Linked DNA regions of Macaca mulatta. The protein of the gene in region 2 interacts with the protein of the main gene of each other region in a pairwise test. Links are inferred from orthologs where the notes say so. Each region holds a gene or a part of one and is shown on either strand. Other genes may lie near its edges. The genes, in order: CRX, QRICH1, NFIX and POGZ.

Evidence for each region.
Region 1: the proteins of QRICH1 (region 2) and CRX interact in binary tests that used the Homo sapiens proteins (3 or more experiments, as listed by UniProt). The two-hybrid records come from large-scale screens. The link is inferred for Macaca mulatta from reciprocal best matches to the Homo sapiens genes QRICH1 and CRX.
Region 3: the proteins of QRICH1 (region 2) and NFIX interact in binary tests that used the Homo sapiens proteins (3 or more experiments, as listed by UniProt). The two-hybrid records come from large-scale screens. The link is inferred for Macaca mulatta from reciprocal best matches to the Homo sapiens genes QRICH1 and NFIX.
Region 4: the proteins of QRICH1 (region 2) and POGZ interact in binary tests that used the Homo sapiens proteins (3 or more experiments, as listed by UniProt). The two-hybrid records come from large-scale screens. The link is inferred for Macaca mulatta from reciprocal best matches to the Homo sapiens genes QRICH1 and POGZ.

The regions. Positions count from the first base shown.
Region 1 is NC_133424.1:60,315,921-60,321,070, reverse strand, and holds the start of CRX (cone-rod homeobox protein), read right to left. Parts: upstream 3,620-5,150; coding exon 3,520-3,619; intron 1,793-3,519; coding exon 1,641-1,792; intron 1-1,640. UniProt on the Homo sapiens protein: Transcription factor that binds and transactivates the sequence 5'-TAATC[CA]-3' which is found upstream of several photoreceptor-specific genes, including the opsin genes.
Region 2 is NC_133407.1:112,478,804-112,483,422, forward strand, and holds part of QRICH1 (transcriptional regulator QRICH1), read right to left. Parts: intron 2,746-4,619; coding exon 2,568-2,745; intron 2,048-2,567; coding exon 1,893-2,047; intron 1-1,892. UniProt on the Homo sapiens protein: Transcriptional regulator that acts as a mediator of the integrated stress response (ISR) through transcriptional control of protein homeostasis under conditions of ER stress.
Region 3 is NC_133424.1:13,593,327-13,598,404, reverse strand, and holds the start of NFIX (nuclear factor 1 X-type), read right to left. Parts: upstream 3,103-5,078; 5' UTR 3,048-3,102; coding exon of another isoform or gene 3,037-3,047; coding exon 2,962-3,036; exon of another isoform or gene 2,930-2,961; intron 2,661-2,929; coding exon 2,129-2,660; intron 1-2,128.
Region 4 is NC_133406.1:115,623,346-115,628,449, reverse strand, and holds the start of POGZ (pogo transposable element with ZNF domain), read right to left. Parts: upstream 3,167-5,104; 5' UTR 2,867-3,166; exon of another isoform or gene 2,775-2,866; coding exon of another isoform or gene 2,755-2,774; intron 1-2,754. UniProt on the Homo sapiens protein: Plays a role in mitotic cell cycle progression and is involved in kinetochore assembly and mitotic sister chromatid cohesion.

The DNA.
Region 1 (5,150 bases), on a different chromosome or scaffold from region 2:
CATGCATCTGATTATACAAGCATACAAATATACAATTATACACACATACATCATACACACATACATCGTACACATATACACATACATCGTACACATATACACATTAATTTATCCAATCATACCTATGTCTAATCACACAAACACACACATTTTATTTATCTGTCCAATCACATACACCTGCATACACTCATATATACATAAATACACCAATCCAGCCGGACACGGTGGCTCACATCTGTAATCCCAGCACTTTGGGAGTCCGAAGCAGGTGGATCATGAGGTCAGGAGTTCGACACCAGCCTGACCAACATGGTGAAATCCTGTCTCTATTAAAATACAAAAATTAGCCCGGTATGGTGGTGCGTGCCTGTAATTCCAGCTATGCAGGAGGCTGAGGCAGGAGAATTGCTTGAAGCCAGGAGGCGGAGGTTGCAGTGAGCCGAGATTGTGCCATTCCAGCCTGGGCGACAGAGTGAGACTCTGTTTCAAATAAATAAATAAATACACCCATCCATCCATCCAATCATGCATGCATGCATGTATACATACAATTGTACATGTGTACATACATCATGTATACATATATCATGCGTGCATACATTCGTCATCTATCTAATCATACCTACATGCGTTCATACAAACACACATATATAAATGTATCCGTCCATCATACACACTAGACACTCATATATGCACATACATACACTCATCCATGCTTCCAGTCATACATGCACACACACATATACAGTCACACATACACATTCATCTCTGCATCCACCCACCCATCCATCCATCCGTCTATTCAGTCAATGAACAAACATGCATTAACCATCTTCTGCTACTCTTGAGGGTCCATCAGTGGAATTGACATTCTAGTTGGGAGAGACAGAGTCTAAATAAACGGACTCTGAGATACCTTACATAAACTGTATGAACGTATGATCATATGAACATACAAATATACAATTATAGGCACATACATTGTACACACATAACATCATACATAGCTATGCACTAATGTATCTAATCATACATACATACAATCACATAAACACACATACTTCATTTATCCTTCCAATCATACACATGTGTGTAGGCACATATACGTAACATCATACCTGCAGCCTACAAACATATGCAACTGTATGGTATCTCAGAGGGCGATAGATACAAACACACGTAAACTGTATGGTATCTCAGAGGGCGATAGACACTGTGGAGGAAACGATTGAGCGGGATAGTGGGCAGCAGTAGAGTCAGGGTCTTGGGGAAATACTGCAATGTTAAATGCTGTGTTCAGCATGGGTCTCACTGATAGATAAACAAAGACTCGAACAAGGGGCCTGCTGTGTGGTTATCTGGAAAATAAGGATTCCAGATAGAGGAAACTTAGTGCAAAGGCCCGAGGCAGGAGGGTGCTTGGCAGGCAGGTCAGTGCCCGGCGCGGCTGGAGAGGAGCGAGGGGCGATGAGAGCCTTAAGAGGCGGTCAGTGGTATGGTGGGGAGAGGAATTATTGTCTCCTTGATAACTTTGGCTGTCACTCTGTGATCGCTCCCTCCTCCCATCACTCTGAGTTCCAGGGAGGCCCCTGGAAGGTCACAGGAAGGGTCGGGAGGGGTCCAGGGACCCTCCACCCCACCTGAACCCTGGACTCGGGCAGATTGATCTTCAGAGCCACCTCCTCGCGGGCATAGACGTCTGGGTACTGGGTCTTGGCAAACAGTGCCTCCAGCTCCTCCAGTTGGCTCCGGGTGAAGGTGGTCCGCTCCCGCCGCTGCTTCCTGGGGGCGCCTGGGGTGGGAAGGGAAACAGGACCCTCAGGTCATCCACCATGGGCTGATGTGAGGCCCTGAGGCTGGGTGGGATGCCAAGAATTCCATCCCGGTTGCCATCTGCCTAAACTAAGGATGGAATGCACATTCCCTGCCCTTCTACGCCTTCCTCTGTGCCTGGCACTCTGTGGCTCCTGCCTGACCCCAAGGGGAATTGGCTTTAACTCTATGAGGAGGTATGTGAGTCGTTTTCCCTCTTCTAAGCTTTCTCATGCACTAAGACATATTTAGTTGAAGCATGACATCGCTGACATTCAACCATTTCTAGCCTATAAAAGCAGCAAGTCTGGGCTGGGTGCGGTGGCTCACGCATGTAATCCCAGCACTTTGGGAGGCTGAGGCGGGCAGATCACAAAGTCAAGAGATCGAGAACCAGCCTGGCCAACATGGTGAACCCTTGTCTCTACTAAAAATACAAAAATTAGCCGGGCGTGGTGGCTCCCAGCTACTCGGGAGGCTGAGGCAGGAGGATCGCTTGAACCCAGAAGGCAGAGGTTGCAGTGAGCTGAGATTACGCCACTGCACTCCAGCCTGGTGACAGAACGAGGTTCAGTCTCAAAAAAAAAAAGAAAGTAGCAAGTCCACACCGCTCAACGTAATGCAAAAAACAAAAACAAAAACAAGAGCTAAAGAATAATGCTACAAATAACTGAGTGCTCACTTCTCTTAAAAATAAGGCTTTATGAAAATTAGCTGGGCATGGTGGCATGTGCCTATAATCCCAGCTACTTGGGAGGCTGAGGCAGGAGAGTCACTTGAACCTGGGAGGCGGAAGTTTCAGTGAGCCAATATTGCACCATTGCACTCCAGCCTGGGCAGGAGTGAAAGTCCGTCTAAACTCCATCTCAAAATAAATAAATAAATAAATAAGGCTTTGCAGGCCAGGTGCAGTGGCTCATGCCTGTAAGCCCAACACTTTGGGAGGCTGAGTCAGGTGAATTATTTGAACCCAGGAGTTTGAGATCAGCCTGGGCAACATAGGGAGACCCAATCTCTACAAAAAAAAAAAAATTAATTTTTTCTATGTTTTGTATAATCCAGATCCTGCACAATCTACAAAAACTTTAAAAAGTTAGCCAGGCATGGTAGCGTGCACCTGTAATCCTAGCTATTTGGGAGGCCGAGGCAAGAGGATCGCTTGAGCCCAGGAGTTCAAGGCTGCAGTGAGCCATGATTGCACCATTGCACTTCAGAGTGGACAACAGAATGAGACCCTATCTCAAAAATAAAATAAAATAAACAAAGCTTTGCTGCCTAGGCACAATGGCTCACACCTGCAGTCCCAGCTACTCAGGATGCTAAGGTGGGAGGATCGCTTGAACCCAGGAGTTTGAGGCTGCAGTGAGCCGTGACCGTCACCACCGCACTCCAGCCTGGGCGACAGAGTGTGAGACCCTATCTCTGAAAAATAAATAAATAATAAAGTTTTGCTAACAGATGAAAATTCCTCTTGATTCCCCTTCCAAATTACATCTCCTCTTCCCCACCCCAAAAGGAACCTCTGTCCTGAATTTCTAGGACTGCACATGTTTTTCTAAGTGACATGCATTTCAGATGAACCCAGAGGGCTGGTATATGGCCCTGAAGTCGCCCCTGTGACTGCTTTTTTCCTGGGGCAGAGGGACCCCAGAGGTCCTCTAAGAGGTGAGGCCAGCCTGGGGTGCCGAGAGAAACGACTGTACTCACTTGGGTAGGGCACAGCCTGGTGCATCAGATCCACGCTGGGGCCACTTAGGGCCAAGGCGTTGACAGAATAGTGAGGCCCCGGGTTCATATACGCCATCATGATCTTCGGGGACGCTGAGGCCCAAGTCAGGGGGCCTGCAAGAGAAGAGGAGGGATGCTCACTCACTTACCAGTTACTCACCATGGGGTGACAAGCAGGCTGAGATTCAAATCCTGCCTTGGTCTCCTCTTAGGTACGTGACCTTGGCCATTTATCTCACCTCCGTACCTCTGTGTCCTCACGTGTAAAATGGCCTCTGCTTAAGGTTCTCAGAGCTTTCTTGAGACTCTGCAAAGCAGAGAGCTGAAGTGATGACGCGCCTCATAAGTGCGAGCTCTTATTCCTACTCTACCCTCTAAAACAATCTCATCCTGGCTGGGCACAATGTCTCACATCTGTAGTCCCAGCACTTTGGGAGGCCAAGGCGGGAGGATCACTTGAGCTCAGGAGTTTGAGACCAGCCTGGGCAATATAGCAAGACCCTGTCTCCAAAAAAAAAAAAAAAAAAGTGTTTTTTAAAAAGTTAACTGGGTGTGGTGATGCATGCCTGTAATCCCAGTTACCCAGGAGGCTGAGGTGGGAGGATCACTTGAGCCCAGGAGTTTAGGCCTGCAGTGACCTGTGTTCAGGCCACTGTACTCCAGCCTGGGTGACACAGCAAGACTCTAAGAAAAAAAAAAAACCAATCTGATCCCGTAACACTTCCTCATCCAAGATCCCTTCTTTCTGTGACCATGGGCAAACACGCTCAGCCTCACTTATAACCAAGGACTGCAGGTTGACCAGCCATCCCTCTTTGCCCAGAATGGAGGAGAGGTGGCTGTATCTTGGAACATAGGACTTTCAGGCTAGAACCAGAATGGTCCCAGCCAAACTGGATTGGTTGGTCACCCTAAGGGAGAGTGGCATTAAAAAAGGCCAGGCAAGGTGGCTCATGCCTGTAATCCCAGCACTTTGGGAGGCTGAGATGGGCGGATCACCTGAGGTCAGGAGTTCAAGACCAGCCTGACCAATGTGGTGAAATCCTGTCTGTATTAAAAATGCAAAAATTAGCCAGGCGTGGTGGCCCACGCCTGTAATCCCAGCTACTCGGGAGACTAAGGCAGGAGAATCGCTGGAACCCGGGAGGCGGAGGTTGCAGTGGGCCGAGATGGCACCACCGCCCTCCAGCCTGGGCAACAGAGCAAGACTCTGTCTCAAAACAAAACAAAACAGCAACAACAACAACAACAACAACAAACTACAGTAAGGACCAAGAAAGGCATCTCACACCTGCAATCCCAGCACTTTGGGAGGTCAAGGCAGGAGAATCACTTGAGCCCAGAAGTTCAAAACCAGCCTGGGCAACATAGTGAGACCCCCATCTCTGAAAAGAAAAAAAAAAAAAACAGTGAGTGTGGATCTTCCACGATCACTTTTGACCTATCAGATTGGCAAAGATGAAAGAGGTTGATAACTTCCGGCACTGGGGTCAGTGTGGGGAAAGACGCACTCCCATGGCAGGTAGGTAGCAAGCAGTACAGGTTGCAACAAACTTATCGAATTAAAATGCCATCTTTCTTTTCTCCTAGTAATTCACCTTCAATGTATA
Region 2 (4,619 bases):
TGTGTAAGTTAAATAACATGTGCAAGTCTTTTAATTTCTGGGGTTCAGTTTCCTTGCCTGTAAATGGAGATGATGGTATCTGCCTTCCAGGACTGGGGAGAGCACAGAATGAAAGCATGTAAAGCAATTCACACAGTACTTAGGTTAGGACCACCGAGAGAGGAAAAAACTAGGAGGCAGACATGTCTCAAGACTAGGCCAACAGAATGAGTCCCAACCAGTAAGCCCTACTCTACTATACTGTGATTTCTCCTCAAAAGCCTTCAAGCACTAAAATATCCACCTCTGCTCCCTTGAACTGCCAGTCTGCAAATTTCCATTATGCTTCACAACAGATGTCCTGAAAACCTAACTACATTGGTATATTATTCTAGCTAGACTCCTTCAAATAAGTATTTAGTGTTAATGCAGGGAACAATGAGAAGGAAAGTTCTATGCTGGCACAAGACTTTGTTTTGAATAAATTACTTTCATGAAAATCAGGTTTACCTTAACAAAAAGAAAAGTGTTACATAAATGCTTTGTGAATTACACACAAAAAAAGGTCAAGGTAATTACCAATAATGTAACAGAAGTTTCTCTAGGTAGTAGGATGATGAATAATGTTTGTTTTCCTATTTTATTATTTATTTTATGCATTTATTTTTTAAGAGGCAAGGTCTTGCTTTGCAGCCCAGACTGAATGAAGTGCAATGGCACAATCATAGCTGACTGTAGCCTCGAACTGCTGAGCTCAAGCAATCCTCCTGCCTCAGCCTCCCAAACAGCTGGGACTACAGGTGTGCACCACCACACCCGGCTAATTATTTTTCTTTTCATTTTTGAGACAGGGTCTCACTCTGTCACCCAGGCTGGAGTGTAGTGGCATAATCATGACTCACTACAGCCCCAACCTCTGGGGCTTAAGCAATCCTCCCACCTCAGCCTCCCAAGCAGCTGGGACTACAGGCACGCACTACCATACCCAGCTAATTTTTTGTAGAGATGGGGTTTCACTATGTTGCCTAGGCTGGTCTCAAACTCCTGCGGCTCAAGCGATCCTCCTGCCTGAGCCTCCCAAAGTTCTGGGATTACAGGTGTGAGACATCTCGCTTGGCTGTTATTTTTTTTCTTTTCTTTTTTTTTTGAGACAGAGTCTCGCTCTGTTGCCCAGGCTGGAGTGCAGTGGCCGGATCTCAGCTCACTGCAAGCTCCGCCTCCCGGGTTTACGCCATTCTCCTGCCTCAGCCTCCCGAGTAGCTGGGACTACAGGCGCTCGCCACCTCGCCCGGCTAGATTTTTGTATTTTTTAGTAGAGACGGGGTTTCACCGTGTTAGCCAGGATGGTCTCGATCTCCTGACCTCGTGATCCGCCCATCTCGGCCTCCCAAGGTGCTGGGATTACAGGCTTGAGCCACCACGCCCGACCTCTTTTTTTTTTTTTTTTTTTAATTTTTGAGACAGAGTCTCGCTCTGTCGCCCAGGCTGGAGTGCAGTGGCGCGATCTCGGCTCACTGCAAGCTCCGCCTCCCGGGTTCACGCCATTCTCCTGCCTCAGCCTCCCGAGTAGCTGGGACTACAGGCGCCCACAACCGCGCCCGGCTAATTTTTTGTAATTTTTTAGTAGAGACGGGGTTTCACCGTGGTCTCAATCTCCTGACCTTGTGATCCGCCCGCCTCGGCCTCCCAAAGTGCTGGGATTACAGGTGTGAGCCACCACGCCCGGCCCCGGCTCTTATTTTCTAAAGTGAACATGTACGTTTTTAAAACTTAAAAAAATGTGCATTTTAAAACTCATTATATACCTGAAAGAGAACTTCCTTATTTTAACTTCTTGTTTGTCATTAACTAAACTAGCAAACATCCAACAGGAACACAGCTCAAACATGTTCTCATGAAGATCTGTTTCCTACCTTTTGAATACACAGGAAAATATAGTAGAGCACATCTGGGTCATAGGGTTCACCTTCTCCATTTCGAGCTTCCCGTGTCATTAGACAGAGCCCATAATTCAACTCTGCCACAGCAGAGGATATGAGATCTTCCTGGAATCGCAGCAGTTGGCGCCCTGCAACGAAAGCCCCAAAGATGAATGGAGGTCCTGGCAACCCAGGACGAATAGAGGTCCTGGGGGTCCATATCTGGAAGGCTCAGAACACATACTGCCCATGAGGGTGCTGGGACAGAAATGGTCACTTGTATCTACTGTAATGTTTCACGCCTGTAATGTCAGAACTGGCCTATCATGTGAGTATATGAGCCTAATGCCAAGAAAGAAGGGCTTGAGTGAGTGCCTACTACCTGGTTCCCATTTCCTCCCAGAAGCCACTGTGTTCAGGTCTGGTAGGGTCAACTCCTGAAACCCGTATGTCTAAAAATGCCTGGTTTTGCGCAAACCCCACACATCCTGCTTATTATGTACACAGGGTCAGTACTGCTTGTTGCTAGGACTGAATTCAACATACTATTACAGATGTTGCTCTCTTTTCCCCCAGACAGGGGATACCACTTTTCTGCCATTTTGTCCTCCTGTTACTTCAGTACCACTGCATTTTAGACAGAGCCCACTCTTCTTCCCAGACACTCACTCCCAATGGGTGCCAATCTGTTCTGAGCATCCTTCTCTAATTCAGCATTCTTGGTCTGGGCCCAGTTTTTCCATACTTCAAGCCCTTCTTCTGGCTTCAAAGAATTTGGAAGCAGAAGTTCTGGGGAAGGCTGTGGCTGTGACTGTGGTTCAACTTCAGCAACCTGGACAGTTTGAGCCTATAGGAAAGAAACCATGAAAATGTGTCAATAGTGTTTTATATTAGATCCTTCAGCAAAATTGCCAGAAAATTGTTATGTGTAGTTCATTTATTTAAGAAAATATTTCTCTACTCCTTGCTGTCCTACTTTTAAGAAGCTTTGCAGTTCTACCTCCTGCCCCAGGGACAGCAAAAGCAGCACTGCAACTGGGCTAGTGCCGTGATTCTCAGCTTTGTCTGCACTTTTAAATGTTTTTTTTTTTTTAGACGGAGTTTCGCTCTAGTCACTCAGGCTGGAGTGCAATGGCACAATCTCGGCTCACTGCAATGTCCGCCTCCCGGGTTCAAGTGATTCTCCTGCCTCAGCCTCCCGAGTACCTGGGATTACAGGCATGCACCACCACGGCCAGCTAATTTTATAATTTTAGTCGAGACAGGGTTTCATCATGTTGGTCAGGCTGGTCTTGAACTCCCAACCTCAGGTGATCTGCCCGCCTCGGCCTCCCAAAGTGCTGGGATTACAGGCGTGAACCACCGTGCCCGGTCAAATCTTTTATTTAAAAACACTAATAGCCAGACTTACCCCAGAATCTCTCTGAGGGGGAGCAAAGTATCAATCGTATAAAAACTCCTCAAGTAAGATTGCGCCACTGCACTCCAGCCTGGTGACAGAGCGAGACTCTGTCTCGGAAAAATAAAAAACAAAACAAAACAAAACAAAAGAACTCCTTGAGTAAAAAAGTAATTCTAATGTTTGGTCACCACTGAGAACTACTGGCTCAAAGCACTGCTTCCACAATCTTTTTCTTTTTTTTTTTTTGAGATGGAGTCTCGCTCCTGTAGTACAGGCTTGAGTGCAGTGGCACAATCTCAGCTCACTGTAACTTCCACCACCCGGATTCAAGCAATTCTCCTTCTTCAGCCTCCTGAGTAGCCAGGATTATAGGTGTGTGCCACCACACCTGGCTAATTTTTTTATTTTTAGTAGAGACGGAGTTTCTCCATGTTGGCCAGGCTGGTCTCGAACTCCTGACCTCAGGTGATCCACCTGCCTCAGCCTCCCAAAGTGCTAGGATTACAGGCGTGAGCCACTGCACCCGGCCCCCACAATCTTTAATGTGCAAACAAATCACTTGGGGATTATATCAAAATGTATATTGTGATTGAAAAGGGTGGGATCTGAGACTCAGCATTTCTTTTTTTTTTTTTTTTTTTTTGGCAGGGACAGAGTTTCGCTCTTGTTCTTTGGATGCTGGAGTGCAATGGCGGGATCTCGGCTCACCTCGACCTCTGTCCCCCAGGTTCAAGCGATTCTCCTGCCTCAGCCTCCCAACTAGCTAGAATTACAGGCATGTGCCACCACTCCCGGCTAATTTTGTATTTTTAGTAGAGATGGGGTTTCTCCAAGTTGGTCAGGCTGGTCTTGACTCCCAACTTTGCAATTTCCTACTTTTTGAAATTCTTTTTTTGAGCAAAGTCTTGCTCTGTCACCCAGACTAGAGAGCAGTGGCATGATCTTGGCTCACCATAACCTCGGCCTCCCAGGTTCAAGGCATTCTCCTGCCTCAGCCTCCCGAGTAGCTGGGATTATAGGTGTCTGCCATCATGCCCGGCTAATTTTTGTATTTTTAGTAGAGACGGGGTTTCACCATGTTGACCAAGCTGGTCTCAAACTCCTGACCTCAGGTGATCCGTCTGCCTTGGCCTCCCAAAATGTTAGGCTTACAGGCATGAGCCACCATGCCTGGGGAGATTCTAAAGAGATCCTTACACCCTAAAAAAATAAAATTCCAAGATTTTCCATTTTTTTAGTTTGGACTCTGATTTTGAAGGGCAAGAACTGAGTCACCACATGTTCAAAGAATGTACTTGAGCTGGGTGAGGTGGCTCACA
Region 3 (5,078 bases), on a different chromosome or scaffold from region 2:
TCCTCACATACTTTTCATCCTACCTTAGCCCCACGCTGGCAGCAGTCAAGAATCTGGCCTAAAATAAAAGAGGCCAGGGAAACAACTCGGCTACAAGGATCCAGTCAGAGAGCGGGGTTGGAGGAAGCCAGCTCAGAGGAAGATGAGTGTTGATTTTCATCTTAGATGCTCTCGAGCCCCTGGTTCTAAAATTGGAAGGTGCAGAATCCCCTTGTGCAGGAGTACCTGATGGCCACGCTGGTAAGCTCGAGGCTCCGAGCCTTCTGCAAGCCACCAGCCACCTCCAATACTACCAGGCACACACCCTCCCACTTTGGCTTGCTGTATAGACAGAGAATGAGGGGATAACTTTTTTTTCCCTCTTAGTCTCTTTTCCAAAAAAAAGAAAAAAGAAAAAATTCAAGATGAAGGGAGGTGGAATGACTGGCCCCTGGCCCTTCAGCATGACGGGTCACGATGGTCACACAGGGCCGGGTGCAGGCCTAGAAAGATCTACAGAAGTAGGTAGGGACTTGGGGGGTGAGAGTGGTGTCCCCTGCTTCTAACCAGTTACCAAAGCAACCTCTCAGGACAAGAATTCCAATACCATCTTCTCCTCTCCACAGTTCTCCAACATATAAACTCAGGGCACTCTAATCTAGATTACATTCCTGACGCAGTGCTGAAAGCACCCCCAAACCCAAATTTTATTTCTGGATCCAGAGATATCATTCCTCCCAACTTCCCAAACAGGCAAGGGGGTGACCATAGCCATTGTGAATTGCTTTTCTTTTTTGTGAATGGGCAGGAAGGAAGACACAGAGACACACACTCGCGGGAAACAACCTTTGCGAGAGTTGAAGTTAAGCCACATTCTCTCACATTCGCATAAAGAGAGGAAAAAGGGAAATGAAGGGGAAAAAATACTGGAATGGTGGAAAGGAAACACACACACACACACACACACACACACAGAGAAAGGTTTGGTAGCCCTCTCATTACAAGTTGGTTGGGCATAATGTAAACACACTTCTGCCTTGCTTAATCACAGAGTGCCGCCCGTTTAGGTTTCAAAGGCGGCAGTAAATTGGGCGTAGCTGAGTGGAGGCTAAAAATTAACCAGCCATCTCTGTTTCAATTTGTAAGAAAACAAAAGCGGAAAGAAATTATAAAAAGGGAAAGGGTAAGGGAAAAAAAGGAACAGAGGAGGAGAACTAAACCACCCTGACCCAAAATGCAGGGTAAAACTGGAAAAGCGAAGAGGAGAAGCAGAACTACTTGGAACACAAAAGGAAAAGGAGATTTTACAGAGTTTTTTGTTTGTTTGTTTGCTTAAGACCTCTTCCACAGCAGTGCTGCTCCCTGCCATGCTTGTGCCCCGAGAAAGCCTCTCTGCTCCCCAGCAGAGTGCCAGGGCTGTGGGCATCCATCCTGAGGCCTTGCCACTTTAGCTGAAATAAGGAGAAGGGAAAAAGCTCAAGGAATCTCGTGCTTGTTTTCACTCTCTATGAAATCAAATTACTTTCATACTCTCTGACAGCCAAATCCCAGCCAAACAGCTCCCGCCTGAGTATTTAGGCTGCAGAATCTGCCCACTACTGTCTTCTCTCCTCTTTTCTGTTCATTCAGTCGCATCTCCCGGGGTTTCACATGCCCCTTCTCTCCACCAACTCCTGCCCATCCCGCTTGTACCAAAACCAGTTTTTCCTGGGACTGGAGGTGAAGCTGCAGGAAAACTAGTACCTGCCCCTCAATACTTCTTCTGACTCATTTTAATAAGAGCAAATATTGGTGTGCTGTTGTTGTTGTTCATCTCAAACTCTCACCATCATGGATAATTCTGGGGGCATCATGTCCCCAATCCTAAGACCTGCAGCATCTTTCTGATCAGATAAGTCCTCCAACGATGGAAATGCACAAAGTCAATAACATGGCCAGGGAGCAGAGGAGGAAGAATGGAGCAGGCTGGGGGAGACAGAAGACAGGAAAAAGGAAAAGGGCCCATAGAACGTGTTGCAGGCCCGGCAGGACGGGCATACACCAGTTAGGCCCGCGGCGAGTTATCGCTTGGAAATTAGAGAACAATAAACAGAACAAATGCCAGCAAGTAAAATAAAATGAGGGGGAAAAATGGTTGAGAACGACCTACCCGGAGTGTGGACAAAGTAAGCCAGATAAAGATCCAGTTCTTTGATTGTGACTCCAATGTGATGTGGCTGGACGCACAGGCCGGGGTTCGAGCACTGAGGCGACTTGTAGAGCCGCTCCCCATCAGTACTTTCCAGGGGGATCCCCTTAAACAAAATCACCATGACCAGGTCCAGCCGCCACACCTTGTCAGCCTGGCGCAGGCAGTCAATCCGCCGGATCTTGCCCTTCTGGTCGGGGTTGGAGAGCACGCAGCAGGGGGGCTTCTTGCCCGTGATGGTCAGCACGAAGTCCTCGCGGAACTCGGGCCGGATGTCCTTGCGCAGCTTGGCCAGCAGCCGGGATGCCCACTTCTGCTTGATCTCGGGCTTCTCGCCCAGCAGCTCGTCCTTCACCGCCCGCTCCTCGTCCTTCGACATCCGCTTTTCATGCTTCTTGAAGTACTTGCGCTTCCGCGCCTGCAGGTTGAACCAGGTGTAGGAGAAAGCGCGGACGTGAGGCAGCAGTGCCTCGATGAACGGGTGGAACTCATCCTGCAGGCGGCAAGCCGGGAGCATGCGGGGCGAGGGAGGACGGGAGGAGGGGAAGACGGGATGAGGGGGAAAGAGAGAAGGAGAAAAGCAGCGTTAGAAGGGGGGGCACAAGGAAAACCGCCTTCTCCTCCTCCTCCCTCCCCCCAACAATTTTCTCTTGCAATTGTTCTACAAAAGTGTGGTTTGAAGCCACCACCAGCTTTGCCAGCCACTTGCTCCCATCTCAGCCTCAGCAGCCAGACAGAGGCACCGGGAGCCTGTACACACACCTATTCTCTCTCTCTCTCCCTCACTCACTCACACACACGCGCACAGACAACGTTGCCGTCCACACACACACGCTGCTGGTATCCCCGCCAGGCTCTGTCGCGCCCATGACATCTCCATGTTCTATCGCAGCCGTGAACTCCTGTCAGCTCGCCCCGGCGCAATGTCCGTCTGCACAGACGCCCGTGGACGCACACGCGGGGGCGTGCGGGGCCGCCTCTGGTCCCCGACACCGGTCGATTTTTGGCCGCCCCCAAGAAGAGAGAAAATGACATCCACGAGCAAGCGAGTGAGGAAACAGATCAGGCTTCCCTCTCCCCAGGCTGTTTTCATTTTCTTTTCTCCTGATCCAGTTGGAACATCCACCCCAGCATTTTTTAATCAGACCTAAATCCTAAATATGTGATTTCAGCTTTGTTATCGACACCAATACTAATGTTAATCACAGTAATAATGAACAAAACACTTCTTGTTAGCACAAATAAGGTGCTTGTCTCGGCCACATTAGGGTTAAAAGCTACATGGGTCTTCTTGCGACCCCTTCCCCAGCCTCCCACAACCCCTTCACCCTCTTTCCCACTCAGTCAGGTGACAGAAGGATGGGCTCTCTCGGTTTTGTTTGTTTTTTTTTTTTTTTTTTGGTTGTTTGCTTGTTTGAAGTTTAAATAATAATTGATTTCTGTTTACAAAAATAAAACTGGAAAAAATTAAATAATTACCATTGATCTGAAGCACCCGGCAAAGCCCAACGCCCGATTCTGAGATTCTGGACTCAACAGAGTTGTGAGTTGGGGGCGGGTGGGGGGAGGGGGGAGGAGGAGGAGCAGGGGAGGAAGGTAAATGTTTTAAAGGGGGTTATTATTGGTGTTCTGGGGAATAGGGGCTGGGCTTGGGTGGATTCTCAAACCCTTCCCCCTCCTCCCCCCCCCATGCTCCATTGCACAGAAGGGGGAAATTAATATTTTTTTTGAAAAGGAGCAAAAAGAAAGAAAGGTCAGGGATAGCAAGCAGAGAGAGGGAGCGAGCCGGTTGCCACACACGCCAGGTAAACAAAAGCCAACAAATTTTTTTTCAATTTCTTCCCCTGTGCATCCTCTTCCAGTTAAAAAAAAAAAAAAAAGAAAGAAAGAAAAAAATGCAAAATTTAAAAATCAAAACCAGCCTCCCACCATCTCCCCGCAACCAACAACGCACCCCACCCCACCCCCGTGCAAAACAAAAACAAAAACAAAACCCAGGAGGGAAAAAGCGGCAGCTGAAGAAAAAGGCTTTCGGCTTTGGCAGCGGCACAGGGGTGTAAACTTCGAGCTGCCTGATCGGAGGAAAAGGGGGAGCTCGCAGATTCCCGGGGAAGAGGACGAGTTCTGACCGGCTGCAGACCGTTGCTGGCAGACGCGTGCAAAAGAGAGAGAGGGAGTGAGGGAGGGAGGAAAGGAAGAAGGGGGGGAGGGAGAGATCGAGGATCGAGGGAGGACGTGGATGGGATGGGGCGTGTGTGTGAGTGTGCGCGTGTGTGTGCGCACTGGTTGGGTTTTGGGGTGTTTTTTTTTTTTTTGCTTCTTTTCTCTCTCTCAAACTCCCTCTCTCTCTCTCCTTTCAGGCTCAATCCCCATCCATTTGCTTGTGCCAAGCCAGTAAAAAGGGGGGGGGGGGAGAAAGAGACAGAGAGAGAGAGAGAGAGAGAGAGAGAGAGAGAGAGAGAGAGAGAAGGATCCACCTATTTGGCAAAGAGACATCCACGAGCAGCCAATGGCTGCGTCTAAGGGGAGGAGGGAACCAGGCGAGCCGGGAGGGTGGGGAGAGCCCCCGGCAGTTGGAGACCAAAAACAATTTGCCCAATCGACAAGTTCACGTCTAATGAACAAGCAAAGTCCAGCAGTTATGAATTTTTCATTCCAGGCTCCCACTCGGGTCCATTTGGCAGCAGCCACCCAGCAAATCTGGGGGTGGGGTGGGGCGGGGGGGGGGGACTGGGATTGTGGAAGACTAGAAATTTTTTTTAAGCCTGAAAAAATAAATAAATAAAGGCCTGACTCCGGGCAGGCTGGCGGGCGGGAGCCCCAGAAGGCCTTGGGGAAGCAGCTGCGCCTTCTCTCTGTGTTTTGGTTTCAGTCTTTCTCTCGGGCCTGCACACTCTCTCTTTTTCTGTTT
Region 4 (5,104 bases), on a different chromosome or scaffold from region 2:
TTTTTAAATATTACAGTCCTTAACCACTGATATCATAAGGGAAGTTTTTTAAGTACTAGGAAGCTGTCAAACTCCAGCTGTCAACTTTTTAAAAATTCTAATTTTCACCCAAATTTTATCACTGGTAATAAATACTGTCAATTGTTTTCCTAAAAGTGACAAGCTCACTTCATTTTCAAGAAATACCTGCCAAATACTAAATGTGAAAAACCACAGTTTGCCAGTCGCATGGTACTCCATGAAATAAGCCACTCACAACCCAATCCCACAAATGCTTTTCCCTCATGACAACAATCACACCTCCGTAGGCAGCATAAATGCTTTATCCATGTTTATTTCATCACAAATTCTTAAAAATTAAAAAGACAAGTAGTCAAAAGCTAAGATTTAATAACAACAGGCGGGGCACGGTGGCTCAAGCCTGTAATCCCAGCACTTCCGGAGGCCGCCGTGGGTGGATCGCCTGCCATCGAGTTCGAGACCAGCCTGGCCAAAATGGCGAAACACCATCTCTACTAAAAATACAACCCGGGAGGCAGAGATTGCAGTGAGCCGAGATAGTGCCACTGCACTCCACCCTGGGCGACAGAGCAAAACTCCGTCTCAAAAAGATAAAAATACAATAATAAATTTTACTGCTTCAAGGGCATTCTCAAGTAAGCAGTTTGGTGCCACTGACTTGCTTTGTGCTAAGGTACCGTCAGTAGTTTTACCCAGCATTGCTTTTGAACCATCAGCGTATCAGTGAAAACAATAAATAGCATCTTACTATTATTTTGAAAATAATTATGACCTTGAGGCTCCCCTGAAAGGGTAAGAGGAGATCCCCACAGGTCATCCGCCCACACTTCGAGAACCGCTTTCCTATATTATACCACTAGTTCAAGATGGGAGTGGAAACTCTAAATCACGTTCGTCCCAAGAGTCCATGTACCTCCTTAGTTTGAGATACACCAACACAGCTCTGGAAAAGGGAAGGAAATCAAGGGCACAAGGTGTCATTTGTTTCAACATCTTGAACACTTTTATGTTAGACCAGTAATTTTCAACGTAGTGGTCACATTAATCAGCCTCAGCCGCAGGACTGCTCATTTAAAACTGTAGAGATGACAACTCCCCTCTGCTCCATTCGAATAAATTTGGGGGATGAGGCTCCCCCAAATTGTACGTTTAACAATCTTCGAGTTACTTTTTATGCACCCCGAAGTTGAGAATGATTGTACTAACAGTTCGAATTCAGAGTTTAAGCTCTCACACCCTGAGCAATGGTGTCTCGAAATTAATCGTTTGCCAAGGAGCAGCCCTCCCTGCCCCCTCCGTTTCCCTTTCCTCTAGTTGGGTAAATGCCTACAAAAGTAAAACCCCGGCCGGGAGCGGTGGCTCACGCCTGTAATCCCAGCACTTTGGGAGGCCAAGGCGGGCGGAGCACCTGAGGTCAGGCGTTCAAGAGCGGCCTGGTCAACGTGGTAAAACCCGTCTCTACTAAAAATACAAAAATTAGCCGGGCGTGGTGGCACATGCCTGTAATCCCAGCTACTAGGAAGGCTAAGGCAGGAGAATCACTTGAACCCGGGAGGCGGAGGTTGCAGTGTGCAGAGATCGTGCCACTTGCACACCAGCCTGGACGACAAGAGTGAAACTTAGTCTCAAAAAAAAAAAAAAAAAAAAGTAAAACCCCATTTCTGTGGAGTCTTGAGCTGCGGTGAGAGGTGTCCACGGGCTTGGAGGGACGGGCTACACCGCCTGCATCAAGACAGCGGCTGCTCTGAGATAGTCCAACTGCATCTTAATTTCCATTTTGAAAATGAGACTGGCCACCAAATGACTCTGAGGACTCATCAGCACTACCTTTTTCTGAACTAAGAATGTCCAAGACAAGTGCTACTAGCAGTTTGAGAGAATCCCACATCTGGAGAAGAAGGAAATCAGAACACGCAGAAAGAGGGAAAGCAAGTAGATTAATGACAGTACTCCTTTGCAAAAGCTGCCAAAAATCTAAAGAAAATAGTCCCCGGGATAAACATGGCGCCCACCGCGGCAGGACATAATCACCAGAAAATAGAGATTCTCCGCCCCATCCCATTTGATAAATCACGGCGCCATCCCTAAAGAAATTTGGGGGCCGAGGGAGGAGAGTTCGTAAACTAGCTGCAGTGCACTAAGGCTTAGGATGTACTATTAGACCAAGGAGAGATTACATAACAAGGCATCGGCTCAGCAATCACTCATTTTCCTCCTCCCGCTCAAAACGAGCGCCCCACTCCTTCTCCGAGCGGGGACCGGGCGGGGAGGGCCGCGCACCCCCACCCCCAGGGGCCGCTCCGCCGCCGCCCGCCCCCGCCGCCGCCCGGCCTCGCCCCCTCGCCGGCCCCTCCCGCCGCGCTTCGCCGTCTCGCCGCCGCCCGCGCCCCCGCCCCTTCCCCAGCGGGCCACCGCCCGCGCCCGCGCCGCCCACTCCTCCGAGACGCCTCGCGCCGGGCGTGCGTGTGGACGTCGGGCTGTGTGCAGGGCCGTGGGGCGCGAGTGCGCGCGCGCGCGCCGCGACGGGCGCCAGGGGGCGGGGGTGGCCGGCCAGCCGGCAGGCAGGGGCCTCCGCCGCCGGCCCTTCGCGCAGCTCCCGCGGCCCGGGGCACACGCACACACACTCGCGCTCGCGCACCGCGCCCTGCGGCCGCCCCTGCCGCGGGCCGCGCCGCCACTCGCGGTGGGCGGGGGCGCGCGCCGCCGGCCCCCCGCCCCCACCCCCGCGCGTACCGGCCCCATCCCCCTCTCATTGTCTCGCCTCGGAACGCCTCGCCGAGCGAAAAGATAACGGAACCCCCGGGAGCAGGGGGTGGGGAGAGAGAAGGCTCGCTCGCTCACTCACCTCCCGTGGTCGTCGCCGCCGGTAGTCTGACCCGAGAAAGGCGCCGTCGCCTTAAAGGGACCTTACACCCGGCGCCAGAAGGGGGTGGGAGCAGGGAGGGGACAGGGGCTTGGGGGGAGACGAAGAAGAGGTAACCGTTGAAAGCTCGTCTCCCCAAGGGTGAAAGGAAGCCTCCCTCGGGTTCGAGTGATTTGGGGTGGATTTTTTTCCCGAGGGGGGCGGGGGGGGCCCCGAGGGAGGGGGGTGGGGGGGCCAAGGAATGCGGCTCCGTGTACGGGAGCTGGCGCGGGGGAGAGAGACGCCGACTCCCCCCACCGACCCTCTCGCCCCGCGGAGGGATACGGCTCGTCACTTCCGCCCTCCCCTTTTTCATGGCCTCCCAATTGGTCGGAGCGTGCTGCACGTCATGGGCTCATCCAAACCCCTGCCCGGGCTTCTTTTCTAGTCAAGTTTGGCTGGGCCTGCAAATAAATAAATAAAGGAAAATATTTTTTATAATGAAAAAAGAATAATTAGTTTCAGAAGCTGTATCTAAATTTTGGTGAGAAAAATGAGACTCCCAAAGAAAATATTCCCCAATTTACTTGCCTAGAGTTTCCAAGGAAGTGTTGGGAGGCTCCCCCACTTTCCACTCAAGGCTTAGACCCAGTCAAGAGGAGGACTTCATGATACAGGCCAGGTGGTGAGGCCCAGTGGCACCAACAACTGTCATTGGAACAAAGAACAAAATGGCACTCACTCTTTCTCAAGAGACACTCGGCCAAGTAGCCTTGTGGCTGTGGCCTTGTTTAAGTGAAGAACTTTTAAAAGCCATTTTGATCCTCATGCCCTTCTGGATCCTGGAAAGAAGTGGCACACGATTGTTAAAGCGATTATTGTGATGGAAACTGCTTTGCTTCCATTGTGACTAGATTCAGCAGAGATCCCCAGTTCTAAGAAACCACACACACTCCACATCCTTATGCTTTTTGCTGCAATCAAGGCTGAGATGGGTTGGCTCAAAGAAATTGTTTGGTCCACTCAAACGACCATCCACCTGTTTATTCTTCCCCAAACAAAAACTACCTCTTCTCAGGTAGCTGAGAAATTTTGTCCTTTGTTGCTTTCTGAGATTATAAAAATTAATATTTTCCTTGAATATTTGAAAATGTTTGCTATTTAAGCAATACACAAATGTTTGCTTCAAACCAAGTACTTGGTGCAGAAAGGGGAAATCCAGAATTATGTTTATTCGTTCTCTTTATATACACACTCCATTCGAACCACCAGACTGTGAAAATAGGCAGTGGAAGTAGGCATTCCAAATTGTATGCACCTGCCCGTGCACACACACATACACACACTGTGCACACACACATACACACGCTGCCACCACCTAGCTTCATTACATTTCATACCAAAACCATGTGAGTGATTTCCACTAGTGTGGGATGCTTAGGAAGGACTTCATTATTTGACTGAGAAGAATCCCTATCCTTCTGAAAATACTTCTGAAGACTTACCAGACCTGATCTGGAGAAGCAAGCCCATGTTAAGATTCTAGGATCAATCACCAAAAGACTATATGAAACTCAAATCCTATTTTATGCTGTCGTGTAATTACTTTAATTCATTATATATATCTACATTATGTATATTACATTACGTATTATTAACCTTTGAAAAATTCCAACATATTTTCCCATGCTCTGTCAATTTATTCTCTCAGCCAATGAGATCTAGCGCAGACTATGCCATATACCGTTGACCAATGACCATTAGCATGCTTTATTGAAAGTGGATCAGGCCGGGCGCGGTGGCTCAAGCCTGTAATCCCAGAACTTTGGGAGGCCGAGACGGGCGGATCACGAGGTCAGGAGATCGAGACCATCCTGGCTAACACGGTGAAACCCCGTCTCTACTAAAAAATACAAAAAACTAGCCGGGCGAGGTGGCGGGCGCCTGTAGTCCCAGCTACTTGGGAGGCTGAGGCAGGAGAATGGCGTAAACCCGGGAGGTGGAACTTGCAGTGAGCTGAGATCCGGCCACTGCACTCCAGCCTGGGGGACAGAGCGAGACGCCGTCTCAAAAACAAAAAAAGAAAAAAAAAGAAAATGGATCATGCATCCATTCATTCATTCAATAAATATTTATTGGGAGCTGGGCATGGTGGCTCACACCTGTAATCCCAACACTTTGGAAGGCCAAGGGAGGAGGATCACAGCAGTCTGAGGCCAGCCTGGGCAACTTTGCAACATC